2 linked regions of the Macaca fascicularis genome follow. The protein of the gene in region 2 interacts with the protein of the main gene of each other region in a pairwise test. Links are inferred from orthologs where the notes say so. Each region holds a gene or a part of one and is shown on either strand. Other genes may lie near its edges.

Region 1 (4,132 bases), on a different chromosome or scaffold from region 2:
TAGTCTAAGGTAAGGTGGATGGGTTAATAAAAGGCTGAGTAACAGCTCCTGGGAAGAAGCACAGCTGGCCTTGGCAGGAAGTGCAAGTGGGGTCTGGGAAAACATTCCAGGTCCAAGCAGCTACTCCCCACGGTTTCCATTAGGCAGACCAAGTGGCTTTTTGAGCACACTTCTTTGCTCCTTTCTTTTGTTTCCCTACTCGTCAGCAGGCACGTGGTTAGAAACAGCCACCCCAGTCTTGACTGCGAGTGATCATCAGTCACGAGCACAACTTCTGACAACAGTCTCTCCAGCTTAGTGCAGAGTCTTAACTGGGGCTAGCCAATCGGCTGCTCTTCAGTAAAGCAGTAGCGCCCTTTGGATTAGTTGTTCACCCACGTTCAATCAGCCGTAGCCTAGAGGGAAGGGGCCATAAGGAGGAAACACAGTTGCCAAGGCGCTGTGAGTCCGTGTGTGAGAGAGACAGAGGGACAAACAGCCCGAGTGAGAACTTGAGATGGGCAAGCACAATAACACGTGCCTTTTAATCATTTCCAGTATGAGTCCTTCAAACACTGTGCTTTGTGTGACTCCCCTGTTATCTCAAATGAGTCTGGTTGTCACTCGATTTTATTTAGCAGGATAAATTCTCGGGGAGGTCCTGTAGGAGCTCATGGTTGTGCTTTTCCCATTCATGTTTCCACTACCATGTGTGATCTTCGTTTATATAAGCTGCTAGAAACACGGATGTCTTAAAATAAGCAGCCTCGGCTTTACCCTTGTGCACTCCAGGCTTCTCAGTCTCGGAAGGGAGTAGAGAAGAGGAGGTTGACTATCATGGATAGGTTCAGGAGTGATTGGTTCTGCCCACTTTGGTGGGGCCTGGACGCATTTTGGTTCACTCTAGTAATTTCTTCCAGGAGCTGCAGTCTTGTGGGCGCAAGACGTGGGCCTGATAACTCCACAGGCAGTAGTGCTGGGGAAGAGCGAGCTCACCAGCCCCGGCTGGAAGACCTTGGGAGAGTAGCAGGGTTGGGTTGGTTCTCAGATTTGCTTTGCCCCAGGCTGTGTGATGGGTGCAGAGCCTGGGTAAATGAAGCTTTCCAGCTCGAGCGCTCCCAACCTGGGCACACACGGCCTCCTGTACTGCAAGTGGCAGTTTTGGGGCATCCCCCCTGCTTGGGGCAACCCAGGGGCGCAGGGCGCGGCCCTGGGAGCGCAGCTCCTTCCAGGGCAGAGGGCGGTGCGAGGGAGGGAGCGAGGGAGGGAGCGAGGGAAGGGAAAGGCGAGCGTGAGCTGCCTCAAATGCTTGGAATAATTCCGCTTCCGTTTGGAAAGCCGCAGCCTCAGCCCGCCGCCGCCGCCCGCCGCGTCCGCCCAGCGCCAGCTCCGCGTCCCGACCGGCCCGCGGCTGCCTGAGCCGCGCCATGGCCACTTCCCCGCAGAAGTCGCCTTCTGTCCCCAAGTCCCCCACTCCTAAGTCGCCTCCGTCCCGCAAGAAAGATGATTCCTTCTTGGGGAAACTCGGAGGGACCCTGGCCCGGAGGAAGAAAGCCAAGGAGGGTGAGTGCGGCCAGGCAGGCCGGGCGGGCGGTAGGAGCTGGGGGGTGCCATAGGGGCCGAGGGGCCGGGGCGCTGGGGCCGTTCGGGAGCGCGCGGCGATGAGTGCACGCGCTTCCCGGGCACGTCGGGCAGGAGCGACTCGCGCGCCACACTGAGCCTGGGGCTCGCGGGCCATCGAGGCCGCCCCTCCCGCTTGCGGCGTTGCCCTCCTGGGCCGGAGACCAGGCCGACGCCCCCGCCGGGCAGTGGGCAGGCGCCGCTTGGCGGCCGGAGGCGGCGGGACCGTAGCCCAGGCGGGGCCCCAGACCGCAGGCAGCGCGATCCGGTAGGCCCTGCCCCGCCCTCTGCGCCCGAAGGCTGGCATTTCCCAAGTTTCCGCCGCAACTTTCCTGGGCGCCGTCACTCTCACTCGTTGACTTCATTGGTCCTTAAAATCAGGTCGTTTCCTGGACCTGCTGACGTCTTGTGGTAGCAGCGTCGTGGCGTTGGCCTCTTCGGATCTTTTGTCCATCCCGAGGGCCGAGAAGGGCCCTGTTAATGGAGTAGGTGGACATCGAGTGTTTGTTGAATGAATGAGCGAAAAACTGGCAAACCTAGCGTGCCCTCGGTGTAATACACGATAAACCCCTACCAAAGGAGAAAACCTGCGTGAGACACAAACATCGTCGTGGGCCTCCCCCCGCCCCACCAGAGTGAATTGAGGCGACCTTATTCTTTTTTTTTTTTTTTTCAGGGTAGTTTGCATGTAGAATATTTTTTGCCCATGGGCAGATTTTGCGTCCTGGTTTTTGGTTTGAAAACTGAGGTGGCAGTTCTCAAGAAGCACTGATGTGTAGATAGAAGATTGGTGTGTAGATAGAAGTTGCTGAGTTAAAATTTTTTGTTTTAAACATTTTTTGAATTGACGCATGATGTACATAGTTTTGGGGCACATGTGATTAATACATTCATATAATTTGTAAAGCTCAAGTTGTTACAGGAAAGGGGTCCCAATCCAGACCCCAAGAGAGGGTTCTTGGATCTCACACAAGAAAGCATTCAGGATGAGTCCACACAGTAAAGTGAAAGCAAGTTTATTAAGAAAGTAGATTAATAAAAGAATGGCTACTCCATAGACAGAGCAGCCTGGGGATGCTGGTTGTCCATTTTTATGGTTATTTCTTGATGGTATGCTAAACAAGGGGTGGATTATTCATGCCTCCTCTTTAGACCATATAGGGTAACGTTGCCATGGCATGTGTAAACTGTCATGGTACTGGTGGGAGTGTATCAATGCAGAAGACCAGTGTCTGCACTGATGGCCATTTTGGTTTTGGGTTTTAGCCGACTTCTTTACTGCAACCTGTTTTATCAGCAAGGTCTTTATGACCTGTGTCTTGTGCCGACATCCTATCTCATCCTGTAAGTTAGAATGCCTTAACCTTCTGGGAGTGCAGTCCAGTGGGTCTCACTCAGCCTTATTTTACCTAGCCCCATTCAAGATGGAGTTGCTCTGGTTCACATGCCTCTGACAAAATCAGTGTACTTGGGATATCCATCACCTTAAATATTTGCCTTTTCTCTATGCTAGACCACTGGAATTCTAGATATTTTGAAATATACAAGAGGTTATTGTAAAATATAGTTACTTTACCAATCTAACACTAGGTCTTCTTCTATCAAATGGTATATTTGTAACCATTAATCAACTTCTCTTGCCCCCTAAAAAATGTTTTTAATAGATTGCCCGTGAATTGGAAATAACCTTTTGAAAGCTGTGATGCTGTGTAAAATGTTTCATGTTTGTAAGTCATCTTAAAGTATAAAAACGTCTTCAGTGTTCAGGATTATCAGACTTGAAGAACTAGACTTCTGTTCTTTAGATTGAAACGAGAAGCAGCAAAAACATACGAAAGTTTCCCCACATTGGTTATTTTGGTAACCCACTGAGTAGTGTACAGTTGGTGGCAAATCATGAAACCCTGGCTTGGAAAGCTCTTTTCTAGACCATGTTTCTAACTTATTCCTTACAGCATTCCTGACATAGTCTCATCCGGTTTAAGATGGGGCAACTGAGAAATATTGAAGCTCATGCAATAAAAAATATCTGCTACCAGGAGAACCATCTTTACCTACTCTGTAGAAAGGTTTATTTTATATTTAGCCCAAAATGTATCTCTCTGTACCTATTACTGTTGGAGCCAGAGAATGAGTCTGGGGTGGCCTTTTATTGATACCTTGCTGAAGTAGGCTATCCTGCTTTCTTGAGTCTTCTCGCCACTGGGCCCAACATCCTCTATTCCTCACAGACATAATTTTAAGGTCTTTTGCATCTTGTCTCTTTAGTTTCAGTCAGGGTCCCTGCAGGAAAAAGGCCAATTTGTTGAGATTTTGAAAATAGTTTAGTGAAGGGGCTATTGACAGAGCTGTGGGCAGGGTTAAGGGAACTAAGACGGGATGCTGAGGTCCCTAGGGGCTAGCAACAGGGGGAAGCTCTTAATCACTCAGAGGCCTGAGGGACAAGGGAAGCAAATTGGAACCTATTACAAGCTGGGGCTATGGACGAGGGGCTGCTGGACTGGAACTATAGTCATAGAGGGATGCAGCCACT
Region 2 (3,562 bases):
CTCCATTGTCAAGGCCATGGCCCTACATGCAGGACCCTTGAGTCTGTGTGGGGTCCATGGGGATCTAAAGCCCTTCCCATCTATGTCCAAGGCCTTCTCCGGAATCCTGTAGGTGATTAGTTGCCTACCCAACCCTGTGTCACCACTGTTGATCCAGCAGAACCCTGGGTCAGCCACCATTTTCAGCCTTGACACATTCGACCTTACAGGTCCCAGCTGTCACCATCTGAAAGATTCCTGAGCATAACTCACACCACCTGCCCTTGCAGCCTGGGGATGAGGCATATGCCAACAACCCAGGCAGAGGCCTCTGGCATTTGAGGGCAAGTGACAGCCTGTACCCAGACTCCCTCTTTAACACTCATAGTGGGGCTCACTGAGGTTGCTGCTAACACTGCCTCACAAGTCTGGGGGTCTCTGCTTTAACTGATTCTTCCAGCTAACTAGGTGCCAGGCTGAGCTGATCCTAGGTGCTGGAGAACCAGCTATGCTGTCAATGTGTGGGTAGACTTATTCCAAACGGTGCCACCTTTTAAAACCACTGGGTTCACCTTTTAAAGCCACTGCTTCAACTGCTGCAATCTCTTGTCAGTGCTGAGGGCAAAGGCCTGGAAGCTCACCCTCCTTACACCGTGGGGGCCTTTCACCTCTCCTGTGTGTAGTTCTTATCTGCAGGCCCCGGTCCTCTCACAGCTCTGGAGAAGTCTCTCAAATGGGGGCAGAATTCACTGAACCACCTGTGTCACCTCCAGTCAACCTCTGCCTCCCAGATCTGAGCCCTGCCATCAGCCTGTCCCTGCCAGCAACCTGAATTCTGCTGACCCCCAAAGCCAGACCCACCTCTTGCATAATCCTCCAGGAGAAACAGACCAGCCCCCACCTTGCTGAACTCCTCTGGCCCCTCCCCTGTGGCAAGGTTACCTTTGAGCCACTGATGGCCTCGGGATGTAGAAGTCCTCTCCTGCTAGGTAGGCAGAGGCTGTGCCTCCTCCAAAGTAGGTCTTCCTCAGTAGAGGAGCCGCACGATTATGGACCAGCAGAGCACCCAGGCCCGTAGGGAACCCGAAGATCTTATAGAAGGAGATGGGGACAAAGTCGGCCTGGTGAGCTGACAGGTCCAAAGGCGAGGTGCTCACATAGGAGGCTGCGTCGAGCAGCACAAACCACTTCCCAGGCGTGCTCACAGGGTGCAACCGCCCAGACTTGACCTCTTCTATCCAGGACAGGGGGTATCTGACTCCAGAAAAGTTACTCTGAGCTGGGTAGCAGAAGAGATGCGGCAGTTGGCAGTCTGGGTCGCTGACCGAAGCACCACGTTCCTCTGCAGACCACAGGTCCTCTGGCCTGACCGGGGTGGACGTGACATTTATGGCCATAGTCACATTCCTCATGCCCACTACAGAGGTGTGGCTGTCGGTGAGGTAACAGAACTGACTCCCACTGCTCTCTGGGCCCTGGGACACCCATGGAAAGGCCTCTGCCACCAGTTTGAGAGCAGCCGTGCTCCCAGAAGTGAAGATCACAGTGTAGTCCTCCGCGGTGGTGTGGAAGTGCGCCAGGATTCTGGAAGAAGCACAACATCCCCGCAACCCCCGGATCTCAGCCCCAGCGCTGAATGTTTGCAGGCTGTTTTGTTTCTATTAACTATGACATCTCTACCTGAATGGATAGATAGGCTTTGCCACAGCTGTGAAATTAGAGCAGGGGCAATGGAAGCCGTGGGAACGAGTTCCAGTTGGCGAAATCCTCTTACCTCCCAAATATCACTGGATATCTCCAATTTGGTATGACGAAAATCCACGATAAACTTAATACTACCCTCTCTCCTTGGTGCTTTCTATGCAGCTCTAACATAACAAGGTTTAAGTAGTAATCAACCTGTTTACATTGCTTTTAATTTTGGCAACCCTAATACCAAAACAGTACCACTTTCAAATTTGAAATAACTCGAAATTGTGTTAATAATTTTAAGTACCACCTGGAAATTATTTGCCAGATACTATTACATGTAGAAAGTATAGAGAGCTGTTTAACATACAAATACTAGTAAGAAAAGGGGGAAAAAAGGGAAAAAAGACAGGAAGAAAACAAGGTGCCTAATAAAACTTCTTATGAAAAGGAAAACCAGAGAATTAGTACTTTTCTTCTTTCCGAAAACAAGACCTGGGATCCTGGGTCACTCCCTGTCACTCTGGCACTACAGAGTCTCTGGAGCCACACAGAACAGCTGTGTGCATCTACCTGTGCCTCTCACCTGCCCTACATTGCATCTACTCACCCCTGCCTTTCTGAGCTCTGACTCTGATGTTTCTCAACATGCATGCATTGCCTTTTAGCCAACTGTGATCCTCCTGAAACCAACTCAGAACCTTTGTGGGATGCAGGCAAGTCTTAGGAAGGAAGTCTGTCTGCCTAGGTATGCCCAGTTCGGCAGGTGTCCCTGATGCTTACCTGTAGCGCACCTGCTCCACAGTGTCATAGGTGAGCTTGCTGCTGATGTTCTGGCTGTGAGGATTACCTGGCAGGTTACAAAGACAAGGCCACCGAGTCACTACTTAGGGTCTCTTCTTTTGTGTTCCTTCCAAACCCACTCCCTCAGTTTCTCAAAAAGCTCAACATAAAACTGCCATATCACCTCACAATTCCACTTCTAGATTTCTACCCCTCAAAAATGAAAACTTATGTCCATACAGACTTGCACGTGAATGTTCATAGCTTTATTCAGAAAGCCAAATTCTGGAAACAATATAAATGTCCATCAACGGGCGAACAGATAAACAAAATATGCTACATCCATAAAATAAAAGTGATTTGGTTTTTTGCTGTCTTGCTCTGTCACCCAGGATGGAGTGCAGTGGCATGATGATAGGTCACTGCAGCCTCAAACTCCCGGGCTCAAGCGATCCTCCCATCTCAGCCTCCTGAGTAACTGTGACTACAGGTGTGCACCACTACACTCGGCTAACTTTTTAAAATTACTTTTTGTAGAGATGAGGTCTCACTATGTTGCCCAGGCTGGTCTTGAACTCTTGGGTTCAAGCAATCTTCCTGCCTCAGCCTCCCCAAGTGCTAGGATTATAGGCATGAGCCACTGCACCCAGCCAGGGAAGTTATTTGCCAATAAAAAGGAACAAACTACTGGCTATGTCATGAAAGAACTTCAAAGCATGGTGAATGAAATACTCCAGACACAAGAATATACAAAATGCATGAATCAATTTACATTAAATGTCCAGCAAAAGAATTGTAAAGAGATACACAAAGTTGATTAGCAATTGCCTGGGGCTGAGGGCAGCAACAAGGATTAGCTGTAATGGGCATGAAGGATCTTTTTGGGGGAAGGAAAACATTTAACTGATTTATAGTGATGATTGCATCACTAGGTCAATTACTAAAAAAATCATTATTGGACACCTGAAATAGATTTTTTGTTTGTTTGTTTGCTTGCTTTTTTTAGAGACAGAATCTTACTCTAACACTCAGGCTGGAGTACAGTGGCATGATCATAGCTCACTATAACCTTGAATTCCTGGGTTCAAGGGCTCCTCCTGCCTCAGCCTCC

Evidence for each region. The genes of interacting proteins can lie anywhere in the genome.
Region 1: the proteins of MOCOS (region 2) and PARVA interact in binary tests that used the Homo sapiens proteins (3 or more experiments, as listed by UniProt). The two-hybrid records come from large-scale screens. The link is inferred for Macaca fascicularis from reciprocal best matches to the Homo sapiens genes MOCOS and PARVA.

Annotation. Positions count from the first base shown.
Region 1 is NC_088388.1:53,393,473-53,397,604, reverse strand, and holds the start of PARVA (alpha-parvin), read left to right. Parts: upstream 1-1,311; 5' UTR 1,312-1,406; coding exon 1,407-1,542; intron 1,543-4,132. UniProt on the Homo sapiens protein: Plays a role in sarcomere organization and in smooth muscle cell contraction. Required for normal development of the embryonic cardiovascular system, and for normal septation of the heart outflow tract.
Region 2 is NC_088392.1:53,689,066-53,692,627, forward strand, and holds part of MOCOS (molybdenum cofactor sulfurase), read right to left. Parts: intron 2,519-3,562; coding exon 2,452-2,518; intron 1,564-2,451; coding exon 922-1,563; intron 1-921. UniProt on the Homo sapiens protein: Sulfurates the molybdenum cofactor. Sulfation of molybdenum is essential for xanthine dehydrogenase (XDH) and aldehyde oxidase (ADO) enzymes in which molybdenum cofactor is liganded by 1 oxygen and 1 sulfur atom in active form.